Danio rerio: one gene and its partners. The protein of the gene in region 1 interacts with the protein of each later gene in a pairwise test. Links are inferred from orthologs where the notes say so. Each region holds a gene or a part of one and is shown in the gene's direction. Other genes may lie near its edges. The genes, in order: atpaf2, lrrfip2 and lzts2a.

Region 1 (8,712 bases):
TTTCAAAACTGGATGGTTACACCAGCAAGCTGGACAGCATTTACCGTACAAAAGAAGAAATTGCAAAACGAAAAATTTGAAAACTCATGGCTACCATCGACAAGGTTTGTTATCTGTATTTATGATGCTTGTAAATAATTTCCACTTTAGTATGGTGTTTTTTTCATTGTATAAACCTAATGTCTCTTCTACAGAATGATGCCATCTCAACTTGGAGAGCTTGCATTCTCAGAGCACTTTCTGTGTATCTTAATGAAGACTATTAAAACCTCATGAAGGAGTATACAGTAAGTATAGTTCTCAGTCAGTTAATATTTAAAATGCCATCACATGAATTCACATAATATAGTCAAGGAATATCAATACACAAAGTATATTTACCTTGGGGTTGTCAAAAGAACAGACTTCAGCACCAGTCTGCACTGAAATAAAAGATTGTTATGATGCTAGCATTTTTCTGGGGAAATCTTGAGCACAGTCGAGCAGATTCTCAAGCATATTTGTCTAGGCAGATTAAGGTGGCAATTATCAGTGTTGCCAATCACAGTCACATCTGTTGAGCACAATAACACTGGCCAATTGAATTTCTTTGAAGGAATGATGATTTCTGCACATTTTTTAAAATTCAGTACAGAAGCCTGTACTTTTGACCACCCTAACAAACACAGTAAAGTAGTTTTGTAAGTCACTGCAGGTGCGTGATGTGAAAGATTAAGGAATGGACAGTTGATACAAAATTCTTTAAATTTACAATCTGTATTTTTGATGTAATTAAACTGAACAGTGATACTGTTTTTGTGTTTTGTAGGTGACAGACTTTGAGAGAGACATGGCAAATACTGTCATTAAAATCTACATCGTTAAGCCTGAAGGTTTAGAAGTCTGTGACCCACCATCATTTGCTGGACTGATTTTTGAGGGAGTAAAAGTGCTTCAGAACCTTGGCGATGTCACCAAGGCTTGTTCTCTTTCTTTGAGAGTCAAATACAGCGTGAATCTCAGTTATCCTTCAGACCTGAAATACACTTTTGAGTTTTTCAGAAAGTGTTGCTGGGACTTGCACATAAACTGTCACACAAAATACAAGTTCTCAAAAACAAACTTGTTGGCTGAATCAGTACATCATTCTGGACGAATGAAAGAAATAGAGGAAGAAGCTTTTTTGAGACACTTAAATTGTTTCTAGTTTTAAAATTAAGGGCCAATTTTAAAGTTATCTATAACGATGGCACCAAAGTTTTAAATGGAGTTCTACATCTTTAAATGGTTATAATTGTTTGATTATTTACAAAGATTCAGATTTTCAGTTTTATTCTTTTCTTTGCTTTTTTTAAATTCTTATGCTGCTTGTCTTAAACTTTCCTTTTCTTGTTCAAAGTAAAATTTATTACTTGCAGTTGCACATATTGAAAGAACATTTTGGTCAATAGTAAAACTTCTTTTATAATTTTTTTTATGTTTATTTTTTTTAAACAAGCTGTTGTTTTGTGGTGGTTTTCATAAATAAAGGTCAGTTGTATACTTTAACAATATATTAAACCTTTTGAAATATCAGCAATTGAGCATTGTAGCATTTTGTGACACTGGAAAAAAATGTCAAATTACTTTTGTAAATTTGCTCTTATACATTTTTCTTCCAATATTTGAAGTAGCACATTGTAAGAATGTTCACTATTGACCAAATGTTGCTTTTGCATTTTTTTCTTTCTTTTTGTACTTTTATTTGAACTGTTTGAGAATGTTTACAAAAATAGAGGCCAGTTTTAATGTTACTCTCACTGTTGATTGTAAAGATCAGAAATGAATTTTAGCAGTATTTTAACATTCCATGTACAATATTTTTCAAAGTAAGATTATTTCAGATTCTTAAAGCCAGTTGCACTTTAAAAGACCCTGTAAATGTTAACTGAAAGCATCTGATGTTTTAGTGTGTTTGTTTCAAAGGAAATTGAAATTGTTTTATGGGTTTTTAGCAGTTGTATGTTGCAAAACATTGCAAAGAAAATAAATTCATTTTGTTTCTAAAAATATGTTTGATTATTTAAGTTTTACACTTGTAGAGCACATACATTAGAAGTGAAATATATATATATATATATATATATATATATATATATATATATATAAATAAAGTGTTCACCTTACATACTAAAAGTTCATAATTCTAACATAACATTACTAAGTAAAATATACATAAAACTAAAATGCAATAATGACACATCTAAATGGGTTGAATGTACTAAGAAATATTTTGTAAACTTTACCTGGATTTCTTTAGTTCATTTAACTATATTGTTACTTGTTGAAACTACTCAACACAGTTACGTGGAACCACTTGACACTCTTTTTTTATGTAAGTCCAACAAATCATTTTTTTGAGTGTGGAAGTTCCCCAGAAATGGGTTGCAACTGGTGCAAAAAAGTGCTGGATAAGTTGGTTGTGGCAATCCCGGATTAATAAAGGGATTAAGCAGACAAGAAAATGAATGAATGAATGTTTCTAACGTGTAGTACCATATTGTTTTAATGCGCACACCTAACACAACCCATAACCCTCACAGTGACGTCACTAGCTCTATTGAGTGCATTGTGTCTGAGACTGCATGTCTGAAACTACGTGTCTAAACGGGCATATCCAAGACTGTATCCAGATACTATTGGGAAAATAATTGATTCGACTTTTGTTCAAGTTTCAGATGTTTACTGTGTTCTCTTGCACAATAAACAGAGAAAGTAAATTTCCCCCCAAAAAACCCTCATTCATTCATTTTCTTTTTGGCTTAGTCCCTTTATTAATCTGGGGTCGCCACAGCTGAATGAAACGCCAACTTATCCAGCATATGTTTCACGCAATGGATGCCCTTCCAGCTGCAACCAATCAATGGGAAACATCTATACAAACTCATTCACACACATACACCTGGGACAATTTTAGCTTACCCAATTCACCTTTCCCAATTTGGTCTTGTGGGGGAAACCGGAGCATCCAGGAAACATGCGAACAAGGGGAGGAGAACATGCAAACTCCACACAAAACTTTCAACTCACAACACATGAACTAAACATACAGTAGGTCTATGTATATTGTAATGTGTTGTAGGCTACATGTATAGACTACTCTATAGATAAACTATAGACTTATGTTTCAATTTATATCTCTTATTTATTCATATATTGGTGAAATCTGTGATATTTCAAAAGAACAATATAATCCTTTTTAGATTCTTTAGTCTATTTCACTAATATATAGGCCAATATATATATATATATATATATATATATATATATATATATATATATATATATATATATATATATATATTCATTGTGGAATTAGTTAATGTTGATAATGAAATGTTTTTATCATGCTGAAGAACAGAGGACAATCAAACAAATCAGAAACACAACCAAAAGAGGGCGCTATGCTGTTCCTTAGATCAGTTCTGGTGCATTACCCTACTGCTGCCCCATCAACTCATGTGTGTCCCTGGAGGGTTTTTGTATACTTGAAATTAATGATTTTTATTTTATGTATTATTTTTCTTTTTATTTGATTTATTTATTTCTCTCTCTTTCTCTAGAATATATAAAATAAATTAAATAAGCAGAACAAACTGATAATAAACATGAAGATTTTAAAACAAGATATTATTTAATTCTTTTTGCATTTGTCTTGTACATAGTAGATAAATAATTAGGTAATAACTAAGTGTAATGTAAATGTCTGCTCTATAAATTGTGTAATTTTTTCCATGTTTTAACAAACCAACAAATTAATGAAAGAAAGAAAGAAAAAAACATATAAGATAGAGATAATAAAACTGAAGCAAAAGAAAGGTGAATAAACCAGTTTATAGTAGCAACATATAAATATTCACTAATATATTCATTTAAATATTCCAAAAAATGTATTTAAGAATAACATTTTTAACAAATATTTTAAGTTATTTAAAGCTATGTTAATTTTTAATATTTAGAGCAGGACTTTCCCGCCCAACTTTTAGATGCCACAAACATTTTAATATCATTGCCCCCACATTAAAACATAAACATTTTTGTTAAAAAAAATTAAGGAAGTTACCTGAAGTTAATGTTTTGAAAACTGAAATTTTTTATTATTATATTCTTATTTGTTTTATTTTATTTTGATATATAATTTATTGTTTTATTTTATTTAAATAAAATATAATAATGTATTGTATGCTATTAAATATTTAATAATCGTTTAATTATTATGCTGTTTTATCAATTTGTTTCTGTTTCTCTTTTATTTTGTATTATAATGTGTGCTTATTATTTAAAAACTATATAGAATTATTTTAATCTTTTTAATTATTCAATTGCTATTTTTAATTATTAAAATCAAAATATTTTAATAGGTATATCACTCTCTTTTGTCCCTGGTAACCCATTCTGAAAGTTTGGCGCTAAATGAATGTTCGAAATGTTGGACTTTTCTCATAGATATTTATATAGCTATGGACTTTTATTATGAATTATCCTCTATGCTTTTTCCTGTTTAGGTCATCGTCAGTCCACTTTACGGCACGCTGTTTTCACTTTGCTGCATGCCTTTAAATACCTTCTAGTGTATTTGCTTGAATAATTGAGTTTATCTCAGATATACTCATTTCTTGTAATTTATACGATTAAAACATGAAAAATGCATTGTCAAATTTAATATAACACCATATCCGGCTTTTTAACCTTGACTGAATGGCTTATCACGCCTAAACTGTGGCATCAATACAAATACAAATTTACACACATAACGTTTAAAATATGCTACGAAATATATGTCGGTATCACACAAAGTTTGGCCAGGCAATTATTTGGCCGTTTTCATTTTCTTACGTGAAGCATGTTCCCAGTTTATCAACACAGCTACAAAAGGCAAAATATAGCAGTGCTACAGCAGGTAAGATATAAAAAGAAAAAAATAACTTAAAATGATAAACAAATATATTAATATCTTTGTACTTGCATTGTGTTTTGCAGAGAGGAAAAAGTTCTACGAGACTGTATCTATAACTCAAGGTGAAGGTGAGCATCATTCAGTACTGATGGCCATAACAGCACCTTAAAAGAAACATGTTTTCAATGATGAAGATCGAGGGTTTGCTCATATGAAAACACAGATTTTCTTGTTTATAGGTGGCTTGTTTGAAATAAACCTTGATAAGAGAAAGCTGAAGACCCCAAGTGGAAAACTATTCACAGTTCCCAATGAAGCTCTTGCCATTGCTGTTGCAAATGAGTGGGACGTTCAAAAGGACACATTGAAGTTTTACACTATGCACTTGGTAGGATATTATTTTTAATTTATATTATATTATTATTATTATACTATATTTTGGTTTCCCAAGTACTACTAGTATATTTGAAAGTTTTATTCTACAACTGTCTACAGAGTACATTCAAATGTATCTATAATACATACATAGTAGCATGGAACACATATTTTTATACACTCTTCAGAACTGAAACTTACAGTATTACAAGTCTACAAGACTAGTACCTTTATTTATACCCAAAATCTGTACTTTTTTGGTGTTTTTTCTTTTTAATTTTCTGCTGCAGACGATTCCATTCAAGAACCCCCTAAAAAGTACAGATTTTAGGTATAAATAAAACTGAAAGCTTAGTTTTTTTTTAAATTCTATTTTAATCATTTAAAAATTCTATTCAGTTAAAGGGGTAGTTCAGCCAAAAATTATAATTTGGTCAACAACAATACTCTGGGACTTTCTTTCATCTTTGGAACACAGATTAAGATATTTTAGATGGAATCTGAGAGCTCACTCACCCTTCATATAGACAGCAATGTACTTTTGTGCACACTTAAAGAAAAAATACTTACTTCATTCAGCGGTTTATCACCTCATTAGTAGGCCCACACGGAATATGCGTGTACAGAAATCTGCAGATTTCCGCAGATCTTTAGCCCATCATTCGGTGTATTTACTGTATTCACTTGTTTAATTGTGTGTGAATTTATATTTATTTAGTTTTTTTTTTTTTATTAATTTCACTAATATTATTGTGTTATAATAATAGTACTATTAAAATGTTCATATGATTTATTAACAATACAGTTAGTAATGTAATATTTTCTGTCTTTTTGTAGGTATATGATGTATTGCTTTCTTTACCAAATAGGTGGATGCAATTGGATTTGCACTGTAAACATTAAATAAAATTAAAAAATGTGTTGTTTTTTATTTAATATATTAATGCTGTAGTTATGATACTCCTAAAATCAATCTCTGCAGAAATTGCAAAAAATGTCTGCATATTGTGTCTTTTCCTATTCATTCATCTATGTTTCCATCCACCTATTTTTATGGTAATTTTGCAATATGCGCATAGAAAACCGGTTGATGAAAACGCCAAGATGCACATTTCATTTTGAAAAAGCTTAATGTGACTTTTCATTTTCATAAGGTTCCTTTTACAGCATCGATGTTTTACACTATCGATGCATTGATGACAAAACATTCAGTTAAATAGATACAAGCATTCATTTAGTTGTTCAACCATAAAACAAGATGAAAGATTGTGTAACCGCTAGCGCCATCAGGATCAGCAGGCGAGCGCAGAAACTCCTATACTGGGGTGAAATTAATTGTTATATTTTAAAGATATGACGGGGGAATAGAATTTAACGCAGTGCTTTTTGTCTGAGACTCATATATCTATATCTATCAGGCAGTGAAGGTCACTGATTAAAAAACAAACAAAAAAACTGACCTCAAACATGGCAACTTTATAATGGAAAGACGGAGGCCCTGTTAGGCTGAAATTAAAAGATTGTGTGCATATACCCCATTCTAAATAGTTATCGGTTATTGTTGTCGGTCAAAAATTCCAAATCGGTTCCACCCTATTAATAACATAATTTTCATTTTGGGGTGAACTGACCTTTTATGTAGTTAAAGATATTTGCATTTGCTCCTAGTTTTTTTTATTTATTTATCTATTTTTTATATGTTATTATTTGCATGTGTCTTTTTTCTTCACCTGGTTGTCATTTTAGATGAGAATTGGTTCTCTTAATTGATTTACCTGGTTAAATAAAGATATTTATTATTAAATACTAATGGATAATGTATCTAAAACATTGTCACAAGTACATATAAAATCAGTGTGTGTATATTCTGATAGTACATTCATTCCCAGTATTCCCAACATTCATAATGTTAAATGAATAGCAGAATCTAATAGACTGATTTCTGTCCCTACAGACCACCCTTTGTAACACTGCTCTTGATAATCCAACACAAAGGACAAAAGAACAGATGATCTCTGCCGCTCTGAAGTTTTTAGAAACAGACACTATCTGGTATGCTCACTGATTAGGTATAGTATTTCATTTATGCATCAGCTGATGGTTTTAAGGTTTCATTACATCAATTGTACCTCGCTTTGCAGTTACAGAGTAGAAGAACCTCCAGGCCTTGTGGAACTTCAGACAAATGAATGGGACCCTGTGATGAACTGGATTGAACAAAGGTAAAATTGACAGATTTTTGGTCAGAGTTTTGATTGTGTAATAATTACAAAAAGTTACAATTTACTGGTATATAAGAACGTACTGTTGTTTTTAGGTACAATGTAGTCATTGGCTCGTCCTCCAATATAATGGGCCCTCAAATCCCAGAAGAGACTAAAGAGACATTTCATCAGCACCTTAATTCCTTCAACTTCTGGTCTCTGACAGGTACGTTGGTTCTTTGTATCTCATGTAAATGAGCTTGTTTACAATAGACTTTGTGTAAATCTTATGTGAATGTGCTTGATTTTTCCTCAGGGCTTGAGTTTGTGATCAATCAGCTGAAGTCGCTGGTTTTGTCCTTTGCGCTGATTGACAGACACCTAAATGTGGAAGAAGCGGTTCTGTTGTCCAGACTTGAGGAAGAATACCAGGTATTTTGATTAAATTACTTTTAAGATTGAGACCATATTGTTCCTGTGGTAATAATTACTATACATTGTGTTCTGTCTTAGATTCGGAGCTGGGGAAATGTGGAGTGGGTCCATGATTATGACATGTATGAGCTGCGAGCGCGAACGGCGGCTGGTGCATTGTTTGTGCATCTGTCATCTGAAAAAACATCTGTGAAGAAAAAAATCTTACAAGACTGATAATGCCAAAAATAGACTGTGTGGGTCTGAAACTTTGGGAATTGTTATCTGTTTTTGTTTTTACAGTGACACTAGTTATCTAACCAGTAGTTATGTTTTGAGAAATAATACAGATTTCTAAGGTCATGATATGTATTTATAGTGTCAACAGCTATCACATGGAAACACTGTAAATGCTAAAACCCAGTATTTCAAACTCAATTTCAAAGATGTAAATGTTTAAGCTGTATGTTGGGGAAAAGAAAGAAACATTTTAATAAATTACAAAGTACAAACATCTAATTGTGTCTACGACTTTTTTCCTACACAGTTACAAAATGAAATAGTCCTCCCAAAAATAGAGTGACCAGGCATTTCTTTTTATTCCTGAGATAGTACTAGATTTCTGCTCCATTTCTAGTTTTCCAATAAAAAAAAAAGATAAAAATTGTGCCTCATTTAACATTTCCGAAAATGGCCAATTGCTGAGCACTAGTAAAGTTGTCTGTCACATAAAAAATAACATAAATCAATTGCAGCCAAACATGTCATAGTTTATTTCACAATTCTGTATTGAAGAATGTGTAG
Region 2 (8,612 bases), on another chromosome or scaffold:
GGAAAAAAAAAGATTTTTTCAATACATCTTTACAATTATTACTTCTCTAAATATAATAGTTTAAATAACTAGTTTCTACTAACTTTTTGAAAATATATAATATTATATATAATAAATTATTTATCTTTGCCATGATGACAGTACATAATATTTTAATAAACATTTTTCAAGAACCTAGTATTCAGCTTAAAGTGACATTTAAAGGCTTAATTAGGTTAACTAGGCAGGTTAGGGTAATTAAACAAGTCATTGTATAACGATGGTTTGTTTTGTAGACAATCTAAAACAATATTGCTTAAAGGGGCTAATAATATTGAACTTAAAATGATTTTAAAAATCTTAAACAGCTTTTATTCTAGCCAAAATAAAACAAATAAGTCTCTCTCAAGAAAAAAAATGTTATAGGAAATAGTGTGAAAATGTCCTTGCTCTGTTAAACATCATTTGGAAAATATTTTAAAAAAGATAAATAATTTTGACTGTATATACATCTTAACATTTATTATGTTTTCAGGTCGTTAAACTGCTTTTATTCATTGTTTCATGCTGTATCCTCCAGCCGTCCTCCCGATGTGCTACACCGGCTCTCTCTGCTGCTGCTCTGGCGTCATTAGGAGGCAGCTCTTCCAGAAGAGGCAGTGGAGATGCTGGAAGTGTCATTATGGATTCAGAGGCCTCTATTAGCGAATTAAGGGTAATTACACCACATTTATTGACTTTCACTGCAAAAATGCTTTTCTTACTTTGAGTTTTTGTCTTGTTTCTAGTGCAAATATATGAGCTTTCTTAAATCAATAAGTCTATATTATAAGTCTATATTATAAGTCTATATTATAAGTCTAATTAAGTTAAAATAGTCTTGTTTTTTGTTATTTTACTTACCCCACTGGCTTATTATTTAACTTGCTTAAGGAAAAACTCACATAATTTTGGCTTATTTCTGAAAACAAAAAATTTTTTTTTTTTACTTGTCTAGAAAATTCTTTTTGATTTTAGGATTTATGCTTTAGATATTTGTGCAAGAAACAAGACAAACTCTAAGAAAAGCTTTTTTCTAATGTTGCTGCTTTACAGATTAAACATAAACTCTCTGTAATATGGATTGTTTATGCAGTTCTTAAAACAAGATGAATCTACCTGCCTTTTGAATATATTTTGGCTGAACATCGAGCTTCAAACTTTCCTATTAAATGCATACGATCTCAGAGTATCCATTTGTGTTCATTTCACAGTATTATTTGTGTTTGTTTTTATTTATTTTTTTATTTGTCTTTATTTAAATTCTTTCCTCTTTGTGTTTGAATGCCTTCGGACAGCTCTCTCTCCCTCTTTATGTTTGTTCAAAAATGTATGATAAGAGGTCACCGCTCTGACCTTTAGCGAATGCCAAACTTTTCCCATGATTCATTCCTCCATCTCAACAGGACATCTATGATCTAAAGGACCAGATTCAGGATGTAGAGGGCCGATACATGCAGGGTCTTAAAGAGCTAAAGGTAGAGGGTCCTGAGCTCAATGCATGCCTTCCCTCTTCCTCCACTAACACACGAGGCTCTTAGCACTCTTTAGTCTTGCATGAGTCTTGCATGAGTCTTTCACTTACTACATTAGCTCTTTACAGTCACGTTTAGCCCTCTGTTGTGTTGCCTAAAGAGATCATTTCTCCAAAGAGCCAAAGTCACATGGACATATTTTGTCTCGCACCCAACCTCTCCTAAAGAAGATGGAGAATGCAGACACACGATTTTGACCAGAACGTTTCAGATGCAACTGTGTAAAGAATTTTTGTGTTTGTGCAGTTTATATTGGGATGCTGGAGATCACTTTGATAATAATACAGACATAACAAGACATCTTAAAGAAAGAAAGAAAGAAAGAAAGAAAGAAAGGATGGAAGAAAGGATGGAAGAAAAAGAAAGAAAGAAAGAAAGAAAGAGTTGAATAAAGAAAGTTGAATAACAAAAGAATGAGTTTGATAAAGGAAGAATCAGTTGAATAAAGAAAGTTGAATAAAGAAAGAAAGTAAGAGTTAAATAAAGAAAAAAAGTTGAATAAAGAAAGAAAGAGTTGAAGAAAAAATTAAAGCAGTTGAATGAAGAAAGAAAGAGTTGAAAAAGTATAGAAATAGTCTAAGGAGAAAAAGAGTTAAATAACGGAAGAAAAAGAAGAATAAAGAAAGAATAAGTTTAAGAAAGAAAGAAATAGTTGAATGAAGAAAGAAAGAGTTGAATAAATACTTGAATAAAGAACAAAAGTTGAAGAAAGAAAGTTGGATAACGAAAGAGAGTTGAATAAAGAAAGAAATAGTCTAAGGAAAGAAAGAGTTAAACAACAAAAGAAAGTTGAATAAAGAAAAATTTGAATAAAGAAAGAAATAGTTGAATAAAGAGAATGAGTTCAAGGAAAGAAAGTTGAATAACGAAAGAGTTGAATAAAGAAAGAAATAGTCAAAGGAAAGAAAGAGTTCATTAACAAAAGAAAGTTGAATAAAGAAAGAAAGAGTTGAATAAAAAAAGAATGAGTCGAATAAAGAAAGTTTAATAAAGAAAGCAATAGTTTAAAAAAGAAAGATTTAAATGAAGAAAGAGTTGAATAAAGAAAGGAGTTGAAATAAATAGTTGAATAAAGAAAGAAATAGTTGAAGAAAGATTTGATTGAGGAAAGAAAGAGTTAAATAAAGAGAAATAGTTGAAAAGTTGAAAAAAGAAAGAATTAGTTGAATAAATAAAGAGTTTACTAAACAAAGAAAGGGTTAATGAAAGATAGTTGAATAAAGAAATAAATTAGTTGAAGAAAGGAAAAGTTGAATAAAGAAAGAAAGATAGTGGAATAAAGAAATAATGATTTTAATAAAGAATTAGTTGAATAAAAAAGGAAGAGTTGAATAAAGAGAGAGTTGAATAACGGGAAATAAAGAAAGAGTTGAATAACGGGAAGTAAAGAGAGTTGAATAAAGAAAGTAGTTGGAAAAAGAAAGGAAGAGTTGAAGAAAGAGAGTTGAACAGCGAAAGAAAGTTGAAAAAAGAAAGAAAGTTAAATCATGAAAGAGTTGAATAACGAGAAATAAAGAGAGTTGAATAAAGAAATACAGGAGTTGAATAAATAAAGATTAAGTTGAATAAATAAAGTTTAATAAAGAAAGAGTTGAATCAAGAAAAAATAGTTAAAGAAAGGAAAAGTTAAAGAGCGTAGAAGAGTTATGAACTAGGGCTGCACAATCATTCTTTTCAGCATCGATATCGCAATGTGATCATTCACAATAGTCACATCGCAAGAAATGCAATGTTTATTTTGTGTTGAAATGTATCATTGGCATGTGTTTTGATGCCTGTGAGTGTATAATTATTTAAAAAAAACATTCAGGTATAAGAAACTACCATTTGTCACCTTAACTGCTATTTATTTTATTGAATTATTCTTATTTTTTAACATACAGTGTACTGTACTCTTATACTGTTAGACTCGGGAAATAATAAAACACTTTATTTCAATCTTTTTCTTGACTGTATTTATAGATTGATATACATGAAAATACAGAAATGCACTGCAAATAGCACAGACCACAACGAAAACGTGTTGGGGGACTTAAAGAAGTTTATAGATTGTTAATTAGATTTTATGTAGATGCACTCCCACTGCAGAATCATCCCAATCAATCTAACATTATAAATTCTTTCCAAATAGAGATATTTAGTCATATTGCGAAATTGCATTTACATCGCAATATATATCACAAAATTAAAAAAATCACAATGTTAGATTTTTCCAATATCTTGCAGCCCTAATAAGAACGCAAATGTTAGTGTTTTATGTCCAAAAAATAAATTCTTTCGAAGCAAGAGTGAATTAAATTGGTCAAAAAGTGAAAGTAAAGACTGTTATAACGTTATGAAAAAAGTAGAACTCTATTCACCAAGACACTATCTAATAAGCATCATAATCTACATATAAATATTATGCTGTGTTAAGTATAATATAGCATGTTCCCCCGTGTTGGTGTGTGTTTCCTCCGGGTGCTCCTGTTTCCCTCGTAGTCCAAAGACATGCTCTATAGGTGAACTGAATAAGCTGAAATTGCTGTAGTGTATGAGTGTGAATAAGCGTGAATGGATGTTTCCCAGTACTGGGTCGCTGCTGGAAGGGCATCCGCTGCTTAAAACATATGCTGGAGAAAGTTGGCAGTTCATTCCTCTGTGGCAACCACTGATGAATAAAGGAACTAAGCCGAAGGAAAATTAATACATGAATTAAGTATAATATAGTATATAATATAATATAGTATAATAAGAAGAAATGTTTCTAGAGCTCAGGTTATCAATCCTCATGTCATCAATCATAAGACTTGAGAAAAATGGTCACCGGGGGATAGTTTAAAGGGGAAAATGGCATCAACACACAACCCTCCTTATTTTATCCATCCTAGCCTTGCTCCCATGTGTTAGACCTTAAGTGTCAGTATATGTAATGAATATATAAGCTTGCCTTGACTTTATGTAAATCATTTAATATATGGTTCAAGAGAAAATAAAAACAGGTCACTGTTAAAGCTTGAAAATCACTATGCTAGAGCACCAAATTAAGTGAAGGTCGCTCAACAATCACAAGAAAAATTATATATATATACTGTATTTAATAGAAGTTATTTCAAGCTACAATGGTATTTACTTTTTTTCCCTGGTTTTCATTAAATAAATTTAGCTTCGAGAAATCTCCTTCAGAATCTTATCAACCTCAACCTTTGAACGATAATGTACAGAACAGGTGATTGGAGCAAAGGAACTGTACAGGAGGAGCAAGTTATTTCCTATTTAGAAGGAATCACACAGACAAGCCTTATTTTATAAAAGCACACTAAGACCAGGAACGTATATTAGCCGAGTCGATGTATGTTATGTTGACTTTAAAAATGTCTGTATTTTTTGATGGATTACACTTTTACTTTTACCTGCACTACACAGTTTTATCTAATCTTTAATGCAGTGGTCAGTGTGTGTTTTGTTTTGTTTTTGTTTTTGCCTGTCGAGTCTTGTAGTGATTTTGTAGCATATTAAGCTCTTCCAGTGCTTTTCACAGTAAGGATATTTCCTCTGCTTTCATCAGGAATCTCTGTCAGAAGTGGAGGAGAAGTACAAGAAGGCCATGGTTTCCAATGCCCAGTTAGACAATGAAAAAGCAAACCTCATATATCAAGTGGACACGCTCAAGGATGTCATTGAGGAGATGGAAGAGCAAATGTCCGAACTGCGCAGGGAAACGGAGGACAAATCAAAGGTGCCTGTGTTATATGTGTACAGTATTATGAAAAAATTATTCGTTTTGAGACGATTAATCCAATAAATATAGAATTGTGATCAGGGCTTGACAGTAACTTTTCTTATCACTAGCCACAATGTGTTGTTGGCAAAATATAATTTGTATGCATAAATATGACTTTGGCATGCTAAAATTACTTGGTTTAGAGTTTGTGGAATATCCACATGCCTCCTAATTCATGTTATTTTTTGTGTATGTTGTGTATGAGCTTGCTCAGTGAGCATGAGCACATTACAAATAGTTTTTATTTCACATGACTTTTCAGAGCTCAAAGGATTTACCAAATTTATCTCTATAACCATTTTTAAAATAAATAAATATTTATTTCTTAGCCACATATTTTAAATAAGCAAAATATAGCTGTATACTATACTACACATATATGGGAAGTTAATATCCTATATCCTGTTTAAATAATAGTTCAATCGAAAGCAACTGGTGCTGCTTACAAAAAGGAGCTCTTGAAAGCAGCAGGACTGTGGGTGCATGAGCATAACTTTTTGTCTAGTCTATCTGAAAGAGAATCGATAGTTGAGTTGCATTTCCAGGCACGGTTGTTTCAAGCAAGGAAACAGGAGCGCACACATGTTTTAAACAGCACATCAGCTGTTGGCGCGAGTGATTATCCTCTCATTCAGTATTCAACCGGCTTTCTTTTGCCCACACAAACAAAATTATAGTTTTCAATCATGCTGCTTCTCAATTCTAAGATCCCATTTGCACGAATATTGGGTCATCCTTATTGTCGAACCCTGCTTTTAAGAAAGCTACTATTTAAAATGAATTTTCAACCAACCAAAGTGGCTAGTGGAGGTGTCTGTCTAACCCGCCAAAGCTAAAATCTACCCGCATTTGGCGGGTGTTAGTGTAAAGCCCTGATTGTATGATCTGTTATTACCACAGTGCATAGACCCAACTGTTCAAAAATGCAATGAAAGTTCTGATGTACAGTGGGAGAAATAAGTATTGAACACGTCATGTTTTTGTCCTGGGTATAATTTCTAAAGGAGCTGTTGACACAGGATTGAACCAGATTTTGGTAAAAACCCAAACAATACAAACATAAAAATAAAACAAAACAAAAAATTCTAAAAAAAAATGAGTGTATATAATAATGAAATGACTCAAGGAGAAAGTACTGAACTACTGAAATGTATTTAATACTTTATATAAAAGGCTTTTTTTTTTTTTGATGATGATGGCAGTTTAAAAATGTGAATGAAGTCACATGAATTACTCAAGTGTGAGTTTTTTTTTTACAGACTTCCACAGAGTGTAAAAATCTTAATAGTTCTGTGGGTCTTTTTCTCTCAAATCTGAGCTTTATTTTGTCTTTTTCTATTGGATTTAAGTCAGTTGATTGGGTGGGCCTTTCTATCGCTCGATTTTCTTTCTTTGAAAGCATATGAGAGTTTTCTTGGCTCTGTTTTGGATCATTGTCTCGCTGAAATGTTCATCCTGGTTTCATCTTCATCATCCTGATAATGTAGATGTTGGACTGAAGCAGATGATATTCATTTACAATGACGAAGGGCAGAGGGTTGCTGAAGAAGTATTGAGAGATTCACTGCCTTTCTACACCTTCCTTTCTTTATGTGTTCAGTACTTTTTCCCTGCGTCGTTTCATTTTATTACACATAACTTGATTTGTAAACTAATTAGTTTTGTTTTCTTTGCGTATATGGATTTCTTTGGCTGTAACCAACATCTGGTGAAAATTTCACGTCAGCGGCACCTTTTGGAAATATGTTTTCTGAGAAAAATGTTGAAATGTTCCATACTTATTTCCCCCACTGTATTTAATACATGTTGGAAGCTTTGCCAGATTAGGATGTGAATATTTTTTGTTCTTGTGATCGACAGGAGTTAGAGCGACAGAAGCACACATGTACAGTCCTACAGCACAAACAAGAGGAGCTGAAAGAGGGCATTCGTCAGCGAGATGAACTCATTGAGGTAAAGCCAGAACAGAAGTTATATTATCGACCCACCAGAAAAATTTACATTAGACTCTCTGATTTAAAAGCTTTTGCTGAATAATCAAGTTAAAGATGATTCAGAATCATCGTTGTGATTGAAAGTGCTGTTTGTTTCATTCTTCATGGATGAAGTTCATAATCTTTATAAAATTCACTTTCGCCCAGTGAGATCCTCCTGTTTTCTCCCTTCACATGTCCCTGTATGTTCCTTTATTTCTTCTTTGTTGTGTCTTTTAAATCTCTGCTCTTTGTTTTCATCTTCTGCTTTATTAAACGCAAACCCCAGGAGAACCAGAAAATTCAGCAAAAGCTAGATACCCTCACGAGAGAGGTGTTTGACCTCCAGGAAACTGTTAACTGGAAGGACAAAAAGATTGGGGTAGGATGGAGAATGAGATGCTGTTTGGATTGAGGGTGGAAACACTTTAACTGTTTATGCATCTCTTTGTCATCCATTTAATTTTGCCAAGCCAGTCTGATTTCTTTACAAACAGTGAGTATTTTTACATGGACACTAATTATCCGATTTTAATGCAATTTAAGGCAATACTCTGATTAAGATTTTGCCATGTAAACAGCGATTTTTGGTTAATTTAATTTGATTAAGATCATAATCAAACTAAATAGAAATGGAATTAAGACATGTTGAGTATGCAAATTTTAGTTGCATTATTGGATTGCGGTACAGACATGTAGACACCGCAATCAAACTATTACCGTCATGTAGGACTTTTCGACACATATTGCGACAGGATGTTTCATACACAAACAGCTGTTTGACACTATTCTCTGCACCTATCGAGTTAGTAAAGGACCACAGACACACAACCACACACACACACACACACACACACACACACACACCAAGAAATGCGGATGTTATTTTTTTCTCCCATTCGGTGTGCGCTATTAAATTCCATTAAAACAACACTCTTTCACCAGTCCTTAATTCGTACTCTCATTCAATACCTCAGTTTGTCATGGGGGGCATGCATGAAATTTTCCTAAATGAAAATGTCAAACTGCAGCTAAGGATGACAAATGAAAAATAAAACACCTGAAATTACATAAAACTGCAGAGGAAACGTGGATAGCGAGATGACGCAATGTCATTATTCGATCTATGTACTATGACATGTAAAACAGGATCATGAAAGGAACATTCGAAAAGCAACTCATGGAAACCCCTTAATCATATTATTTAGTCTTATTCAGATTAAGGCAAATAATTCCATTACTGATGTCCATGTAAACATAGTCAAAAGTGATGTTATGTATACAGTTATTCCCTTGTTAACACTTTAACTAGCATCGTAACCG
Region 3 (8,712 bases), on another chromosome or scaffold:
CACACATTTTTTCTCTAGAGCAAACATTAAACACAAATAAAATGACCTTACCTTTCTCTAAACAATTTTAACTCAAATTAGGAAGATAGTCTAGCTTATTATACAAACAGAAATATAATAATTATAAAAATACAGAACATTTAACATGGCTTAAACTTTGCTGTTGTTTGCTACTAGATTGAGAATCACTAGCGATACCTTCAATTGACTTTTGAAAAAGAAACTCCTCATAGTCGCCTGTGGAGCTTTTTTATCAGCTAGTTGTTGTATTGTCAAGGGCAGCTCCTACAAATTTCCACTCTTTCAGTGTCAAAATATTCCCATATTACCGATGTCCTGTTTTTCTTTGATATTAATTTGTCTATTCATGCTTCTGAAGCAGCAGATGTCATCATCCTACTCGCCTGCACTTACCTGTTTGTTTTTTTATTGTGGGCGTTCCACATAGTTCCGTTGTGCAATTCTTATTGGGCAGAATGAAAGTAAGCTCACTAAATTGGCTAGTAAGACTGTCACACACAGACGGCAGTCACGCATTTGCTGTAGGCGGGAGAAATGAAATGATACGTATGTATTTCATATCGCAGCCTCTTGCGATTAGCCAATTGTAACATTTTAAACATTTCAAATAATCGCACAGCACTTGTGTCAAACATTGTAAAAAATTAACTGTTGCATTAATGTTCCTAATTTGACATAATATAAGTATTTCTGGGCTTAAAGTGATAGTTCATCCAAAATTTACTCATCTTTCACTTGTTCAAAATGTATTTGAGTTTCTTTTTTCTTTAAAAAAATAAGATATTTTGAAGAAAGCAGGAAACCTGTAACCATTGATGTCCATAGTTTTTCCTACCATAGAAATCAATTGTTACAGGTTTCCAGCCTTCTTCATAATATGTTATTTTGTGTTTAACTCAAAGGATCTATACCTTAGAGTGTTCATCTCAAACTCTGGCAACAATAATTTTCAAGGTATTTCATTTTGATTTGATTTGAATTGATTTATTCATTTTCGAAAATACATTTCAACATGGTCAAAAATGGAGCAAGATGAAGCACAAGCTTATTATTTTCCCACTCCATTACCACACATGTCATTCATCACTTAAACTTATTTCTTCTTTTACTTATCTCTTATTTTTACATGAGACACATTTAATCCTTTTGGCATCTTTGACATATTGTATGTTTGATTCTATTTGTACATTTACTTTTTATAACATAGACCCCCAAAAAATACATAGTACTGCAAATAGCCATTAATTTAAATTTCATCATACCTTTCTCATTTGATCCTTTTTCAATCACCTTCATCATTATATTCCTTTAATGATGTATAATTATACAAATTTTAAAATTGAGTAATATCCTGACATTGTTTGAAAATCTGTTCCAGAATGTTGCATAATTTCACACCACAAACAGACATACACAAACTTTTTAAAGTTGTCCTTGTTTTCAACCTCCTATTATGTTTTTCTCTCAGATTATATCCCCCTTGTCTTTCTTCAAAAAACTTTTGTATGCATTTAGGAAGTATTTTATTCCCAGCTTTAAACATTAATTGTGCTGTTTTAAATTCAACCAAATCATTGAACTTAAGTATTTTCAATTTAAAAAAATAAAGGATTTGTATGCTCCAAATACCCCACATTTTCTATCAGTCTAATTACTTTTTTCTGCATTGTACATAAGGATTGTAAGTAAATATATATTATATTGGGGAATATATATATATATATATATATATATATATATATATATATATATATATATATATATATATATTGGGGTATATGTATTCCCCCAAATTTCCACACAATAGCTCATATATGGCAACATAAGTGTGTTATATAATATATACATTGATATATTGTCCAGTATAAATCTTGCTTTTTACACTATTGCTACAGTTTTTACTATTTTTGATATTACATTATTTATTTGCGGTTTCCGCAACTAATTTTATGATCCAATATAAAACCAACAAACATAATTGCATAATCTCTATACTTAAATACTTTATTATCAATTTGGAAATCTATATTATGTCTACTTTTTAATTTCCCAGATAACAAAACCTTTTGTTTTACTTATATTTAATGACAATTTGTTTACGTCAAACCACAATTTCAATTTATTAATTTGTTTTAATCAACTCCATAAATTTTGGTAAATTATGCCCAGAACAAAATGATACTTGTATCATCTGCAAATAAAATAAGCTTAAACAACTCTGAAATCTTACACATATTATTAATGTAAATTATAAACAATATTGGACCTAAAACTGATCTTTGTGGTATGCCACACTTTGCATTTAAATATGATGATTTATGGTTGCCAATTTCCACAAACTGTTGCCTATTTTTTAAATAACTAATTATCCAATCCAAGGCTACTCCTCTAATACCATACCATACCATCATTTAAAGATGTGACATAAAGACAAATAAACCACAACCTGTCCTGATAAGGGAAATTTTCAGAAATGACTCTAAAGGACCTTAAACTTATTACACAACTGTCAAGAAGACAACAGAAGGCATATAGTCAATTGTACACTAGAGTTATCCAACAAAGTTTTGATTACACTGACAATTTAGAACCCTTCAAATCTTCTTATCAAATATGATACAGCCTGCCCAGTAAGTTTAAAGTAGCCACTGAATGTCAGACTTAAAAACTGCACAGCAGTCGTCCATTTTCCACAGACACTGTCGTGGTCAGAGATGAAGAACAGCAAAAGGTAGAAGAAAGACAAGGGGAAAAAAGGGAGCAAGTATGAGGAGGGATTAAATGTGTGTGAGGATGGGGGTGGTGGAGGAGGAAGGGGCCACAGACAAAGTGCGAATGGGAGGAGGGTAGCAGGAGAAGGGGGCGGTGCTGGCGGCAAACAGCAGAGGACGGGACACAGAGGAAGGGGGTTTCTGCCAGAGAAAAGAGAGCAAACTTTGGCATGAGGAGGAGGAGCACGGAGAATGAGCATGTAGGAGAGAAGCAAAGTGATACAGAGAGGAGAAGCAGCAGAAGTACAGTGAACTGACTGGGATTGTACCTCCAGGACAGGCTGGGGAGACGCGAGGAGGCAGCCATGCAGAGCACTATGGGTATGTCAGCAACACCACTGGATTTATTGCAGCCTGCGAATGCACGAGAGTTCAGATTACCACTGCAGCTCACGGGAGCTTTGAAGTGATGTGAAATGAATGATTAACTTTCTTAAAGCTGATAGGGTTTGGGGTGAGAAGACGCTCTTTGAAGTTTTAGCAGCACTGTTAGTGCTTTCTGCTGTGCGAGAATGTTAATGATACTGTGTTATTTTGGGGGCTGAGTAAGTTGGGCTTTTGTTTTGATTTATCAGAGATACAAAGATACAATAGTGAACTCTGTTGTGCTTCATTTAAGTTTGTCACCAGATGTCTCCTTTAAAATGTTTGAAGTAATGAAGACAAAATTAAGACAGTAAGACTGTTACAAACGTTGGTATCTTGTCAAATATTGTGCTCTTTTCTGGTTCTCCAGAGAGAGACATGTGAGATTCCCACAGGAAAACCATATAAGCAGCATGAGGCGTAAACAAAAGTCTCAGTTTACTCTCATTTTAACATCACTGTCCTCTAGAAGACATAAATGAGACGTCTTTTGTGTTTTTTGTCACCTATAGGTATTTATATCTGCTGTAAAGAGTGTTTGTTGAGCTTGTTAAGTTTTTGTGGCTGGTTTGTTTGTTTGAAAGCAGGGCCTTGCGAGTGGATTGATTTACAGGAGTCAACTAAGCGGTTTGGTTTTGTTTTGTGGAGACCATTTTGTGGAAATTCAATGTTTTGAAACTACACTTCAGGTTCATATATACTAAAACATTTTTTACAATTCTTTTAGGAGTAAAAAAAATAGAACTTTAAATTCAAAATAGCTTGGCGCTATTTTTCCTCTTTCCTAAAATTTGTTGAAATTATTCAAACAAATGTACAGAAATCATCTGATAATACTGATGTGAAAGTGTCCCCAGTCAATCACAGCAAAGTTTATATAGAGAAAAGGTGTCAGTGTTGCTCATTAATATTTTCAGTATCTACAGTAACTTTCAGAACATCAGTATCTACTAGAGCTGGGTGATATTGCAAAACATATTATCACAATATCATGTTTCATATCATCTGATATTGACAATTATCTTACAAAATACATTTAGGAATATTAGATTTTTTTTTAAACCATTTTATTTTAATTTGCCAACATTACTAAGGCAAATATGTTCAATAGTCAAAAACAAAAATATTTAAACAAAATTTCTGATCTCTTTATAATAAAATAAATAAGTGTTAAAGAGACTCCTAAACTTGATGAATAAAATGCTACAAAGTGTGTGCAATGATAAAGGTAGAACAACATCTGTAAGATGTCAATAATAATGATGCAGTAAAACTCAAATTATTTAAATACATATTATAACAATACAAATTGTTAAATACTTAAATGGCTACATTACCCCTACGCTAAAACATGTCTCAGATGGGGAGCTAGTGGCTAGGATGCACAAGAAAAGAAACCAAAAAGCCACTCTGGCGACATCTTTACATCTTTTATTGTTTATAATCTCCTCAATGCTGCTATATGGCACTCATTTTCGCATGTGTTGTTATTCTAACCTTAAGTAACAAGTGCACGCGCATGGTTTCTGGAATTGGTTCCAATTGGAATCTGGAATGGTTGCAGAAAAACCATTGCTGCAACAAGTTTATGGAGAAAAGTAAAAAGCACTGCAGTGTTTGGCTGCGCTGTGTTTGTCTGAGGTAATTAGTCTGCCGTTATTACTGAAATGTGTATATTCCATACAAAGTGTGAGGCAGATTGGTTAATTCTACTAGCATGAATGGCGGTGTGCTCTCAGCATTCAGAAAAGTTCAAATGTTTTTAACTACTGTAGATGCGGCTCAAAAATGTGCACGGTTCACATGTGTATGTGTGCACCACCTGCACAACATGGGCGCGTCGCTCAAGTCGCGCGACTTCATTGGAAATGACAAACTTTCACCCTAAACTTATTGGCACTGTTTCCAAGGCACACGTTCATCAGCCACTTTTAATAAAACTATAGTGCTTTATACCGGAACTAAATAATTCTAAATCGTTTTTTTATCGATATTGACAATGGTGGTTCCGTCAATAAATATCGATATCAATTTTATCGCCCAGCCCTAGTATCCACTATAAAACTGCTCTTTAGTGCTTGATTTTACTTGTGTTTGTCTGACAATGATGGATTAAACAGAGGAAATTAAATTCAGAGTAGTGTTAAAGCCACACCTACCTAGGTGGGTTGAAGGTCTTTACCAGCTGATGCAAACTTCTGTACATGGGAACGTCTCCCATATACAAAATTACTGAAAACAACTTTTCAGTAAAGAGTTCCAAAAGGAATCATTTATGTGTGTGTGAAATGCCTTTACTGTACTGTTAAAAACCATTTCCGCTAAAAAGAACCTTATGTTGACGATGTAAACAATGTTTAATGGAAGCATCAATGCCAATGAATTGTCTTTTTGATCTACTTTTTAGATCTTTGGACTAAAAATATTTCTTCTATGGGATCACTGTGAAACTCTCTATTAGGCGACTTTATGTTTATTGCAAATATTTAGTATATTTTTGCTTTTTTGTGACCATAAATTAAAAAGTAACATGACTTCTCAAAAACTGGCCCAGATTGGAACGTCCGGTGTCCAGAATACACACATACACACTCCAATCACTCTTCGCTCAGTGCTTACATAAAGCTTCTTCAAACTAGTCAAACACCACTAAGCTTCTTGCACAGCATGATACCTGATCTATTGACATTTTGTTTTCGAATGGGATGAAGTTTTGAATGAACCCCCCCATCCCCCCACCACCCAAGTATATTAAGATTCCCGTTTGTGTTTAAAGTGGATGTGACTCAGCTCATGGCACATTCTTATACAGTAAAAGCCTGAAATAGAGTGGCCTGTTACTGCGTGTCAGCAGCGTCCAGACTCTGCTCCGGATGAGATCACCTAGGGGGGTGGAAAGGTGCTTGCGTCAGTGAGTCGGAAAATAATAGATGAGTTAAATCACTCTCATATGTTAGAGGGCTCTGAAATACAGCGTTAGTAAATGTGGTCAGCGCACTGTCTTCGTAAGGACACTACGTGCCCCGCCGGCTAGCCTTGTCTCACAGGTTTAAGGTCTCTAAAACACCTCGTTCTATCATTTTTACTGTTTCCATTTATGAGAAGCCTTTATACGCCAAGTGTTTATGTAAGACTGTAGCTTCCTGCAGACGTATATACAGAGGGAGAGCTCATTAACGTCGAGTCAGTCTCTGCTAACTGCACTGAATCACAGCTTTCCATGCCACTCTTTTTGCTCCCTGTCTGAGCTCGGCTGGAATCTGTCGGGATGGTGTCTCTATATGTCCACATCCTCTTGTGGCTGGTCCCCCTGTGGCATGTTTGCAAGTTTTCACGAGCAGCTTCAAGGTTGTCTTTTTTCTGTTTGTGGCTCCTGCGTGGTTCACCATCTCTGCAATTTTGTGATGAATTACATATTCATGCTGGCATAGTTTGTCTGAGGCCGCTGGTTATGTAAGCGCTGGTGTGGAATTAATTTAGCAGTATGTGCGTTGTGCCACTTTTTTTCCCCCGACTGCAGTGCATATCTGCACTGTGATTTCAGTTTGATCATGAGACTGATGATTATGGCTTGTCAGAAACACCGCAAGATTATTTATTTGCCTCTTTATGCTGATGCTTGGTTCAGAAAGCATCGACAGGAGGCGAAGAAGCCATTTTGAGAAGATCAATGGCCAAAGCTAGTAAAGAGCTACTTTAGCTGGAAGAATTTACAGAGGCTGCACTTAAAAACATATACATGGTCTTTTTAAAGTGAGTAACCAGCTTTGCAAAACACAGTTAATGTTCTACGTTACTCATTTTGTCCTTTAAGAAATATATCATTCAAATTATTAGTTAAGAATTGTAATTTGTGGTTCTCAGTAGTTGAAATCAATCATCAAATTCAGATAGAATGTTTGACCTGCCGACCCATCTATGTATCTGGCTTAAGGCTGATTTATACTTCTGCGTCAAGCGGTAGCCCTCTGTAGCCCTCGCCGTGGCCGTCGCTGACGCGCACTTTTTAAAAAATGTAACAACACATTGCAACAATACATAGCGCAAGCTCTGTGATTGATCTGATTGGTAACGCTGATGACAGTGGGTGGGATCAAGAGCAACGCGAACCTGTTGGAGTGAGTGTTTACAAGTGTCGAGTCAGTGAAGGAGCTCCAGATGTAAAGTTTTGTTTTGTGTTTACTTTATGATTTAAGTTATGGCATGTCTGCCGGTTCCCGCCTCAAAATGAGCGAGTTTGCACTTCTGCATTTGTTGCCTTGTACTTGTATATGTGTAATGACAATAAAGTTGAACCTAATCAAATCTACTTTCACAAAAGGATAGCGTTCAGAAAAAACAAAACAATAGCGAAGAAAAACAACACAGAGGAACATAAACACCTGCTGCCAGCTAGCATTTCGGAAGTGTTATCGCAGAGCAACACAGAAGTATACGGCATGAGCCGTGGGTCATGCCAATTACTTGATCCAGAAGTATAAACCAGGCTTTAAAGAGCACCCATTTTACCCCTTTTTCAAAATTTAAGATACGTCTTTTGTGTCTCCAGAATCTTTAAAGTTTGACCTCTAAACACCCATCGTATTATTTATTATACCTTTCAGAATATTGGAATTTGCTGCTCTGAACATTAAGCAGCTGTTTTTGTTTTTTTTTGCCTGTGCCTTTATTGCTAGTTCTCCCCGCCCCCCGTTCTAATGAGCATGTCAGAGTGTGCCTCAATCTTTGCTTCGGCTGCATCAGATAAACAGCACAGTGACAGACATGAAGGAAGTAGAGAAATACTACAGTAAGAACTTTCACAATTATTATTTATGCAATTTTTGTGGAGTCACAAATTATGAGTCACACACAATTTCTTTACAAATTATTTTTTTTTACATTAAAAAGTTTGAAGAGCCATCAGTTCATGGTCATTTATTTGGGCATTAGTTTGTCCTTATGTGCTCTTTTATAAAAACCAAACTGAAGGTCTGGATTTCACTCTCTTAGATCAGTATGTTTTTTTTCAGACCATACTCAGTACTTTTGAAATACTTCTTCACTTTATTACCATCCTATCAGTGGCATCTCCTCAAAATGGCCACTCTCACAGTAATAACAGTGTGGTGGAGCCACAGCTCCTCTCCGTTCTGCTGATATTCCAAGTGTTTGTTTCTTACCACTGGATTGAACTGAATAATCATTAGTGGTTGGAAATTCCTACCGTGGCAAAGAGCAGCTGACTCAGAAACAACCGACTCCTGGATGTTACATGTCCATTCCCACGCTGGGCGCTTTCCTGGAATTGCTATGGGTCAAATTGACCAAGTGTTGCTGACCATAGGGCAGTAGAGTGACTGCATAGCCAGATTTTCAGCATAACATAACTCATTAAAAATTCTTAGACAGAAATAAGTTCAGTACTCGGAAATCTGTAATACAGAGCTTTTGTAAACTGTATACATTTTGGTATATCATATCACATGTAGATGATAAGAGAGATACATTGCCATGTACGGGTGTTATTTTAACCAGTTACTTTTTCTAGTTCAAAACAAACTACCAATTTACA

The links.
Region 2: the proteins of atpaf2 (region 1) and lrrfip2 interact in binary tests that used the Homo sapiens proteins (3 or more experiments, as listed by UniProt). The two-hybrid records come from large-scale screens. The link is inferred for Danio rerio from reciprocal best matches to the Homo sapiens genes ATPAF2 and LRRFIP2.
Region 3: the proteins of atpaf2 (region 1) and lzts2a interact in binary tests that used the Homo sapiens proteins (3 or more experiments, as listed by UniProt). The two-hybrid records come from large-scale screens. The link is inferred for Danio rerio from reciprocal best matches to the Homo sapiens genes ATPAF2 and LZTS2.

Annotation. Positions count from the first base shown.
Region 1 is NC_133187.1:20,033,414-20,042,125, reverse strand, and holds atpaf2 (ATP synthase mitochondrial F1 complex assembly factor 2), read left to right. Parts: upstream 1-4,538; 5' UTR 4,539-4,782; coding exon 4,783-4,918; intron 4,919-4,998; coding exon 4,999-5,043; intron 5,044-5,154; coding exon 5,155-5,303; intron 5,304-7,244; coding exon 7,245-7,342; intron 7,343-7,431; coding exon 7,432-7,512; intron 7,513-7,607; coding exon 7,608-7,720; intron 7,721-7,810; coding exon 7,811-7,926; intron 7,927-8,007; coding exon 8,008-8,145; 3' UTR 8,146-8,427; downstream 8,428-8,712. UniProt on the Homo sapiens protein: Plays a role in the assembly of the F1 component of the mitochondrial ATP synthase (ATPase).
Region 2 is NC_133188.1:46,210,714-46,219,325, reverse strand, and holds part of lrrfip2 (leucine-rich repeat flightless-interacting protein 2), read left to right. Parts: intron 1-559; coding exon 560-694; intron 695-1,424; coding exon 1,425-1,496; intron 1,497-5,100; coding exon 5,101-5,271; intron 5,272-7,176; coding exon 7,177-7,269; intron 7,270-7,578; coding exon of another isoform or gene 7,579-7,671; intron 7,672-8,612. UniProt on the Homo sapiens protein: May function as activator of the canonical Wnt signaling pathway, in association with DVL3, upstream of CTNNB1/beta-catenin.
Region 3 is NC_133188.1:20,791,946-20,800,657, reverse strand, and holds the start of lzts2a (leucine zipper putative tumor suppressor 2a), read left to right. Parts: upstream 1-2,951; 5' UTR 2,952-3,113; intron 3,114-8,712. UniProt on the Homo sapiens protein: Negative regulator of katanin-mediated microtubule severing and release from the centrosome. Required for central spindle formation and the completion of cytokinesis.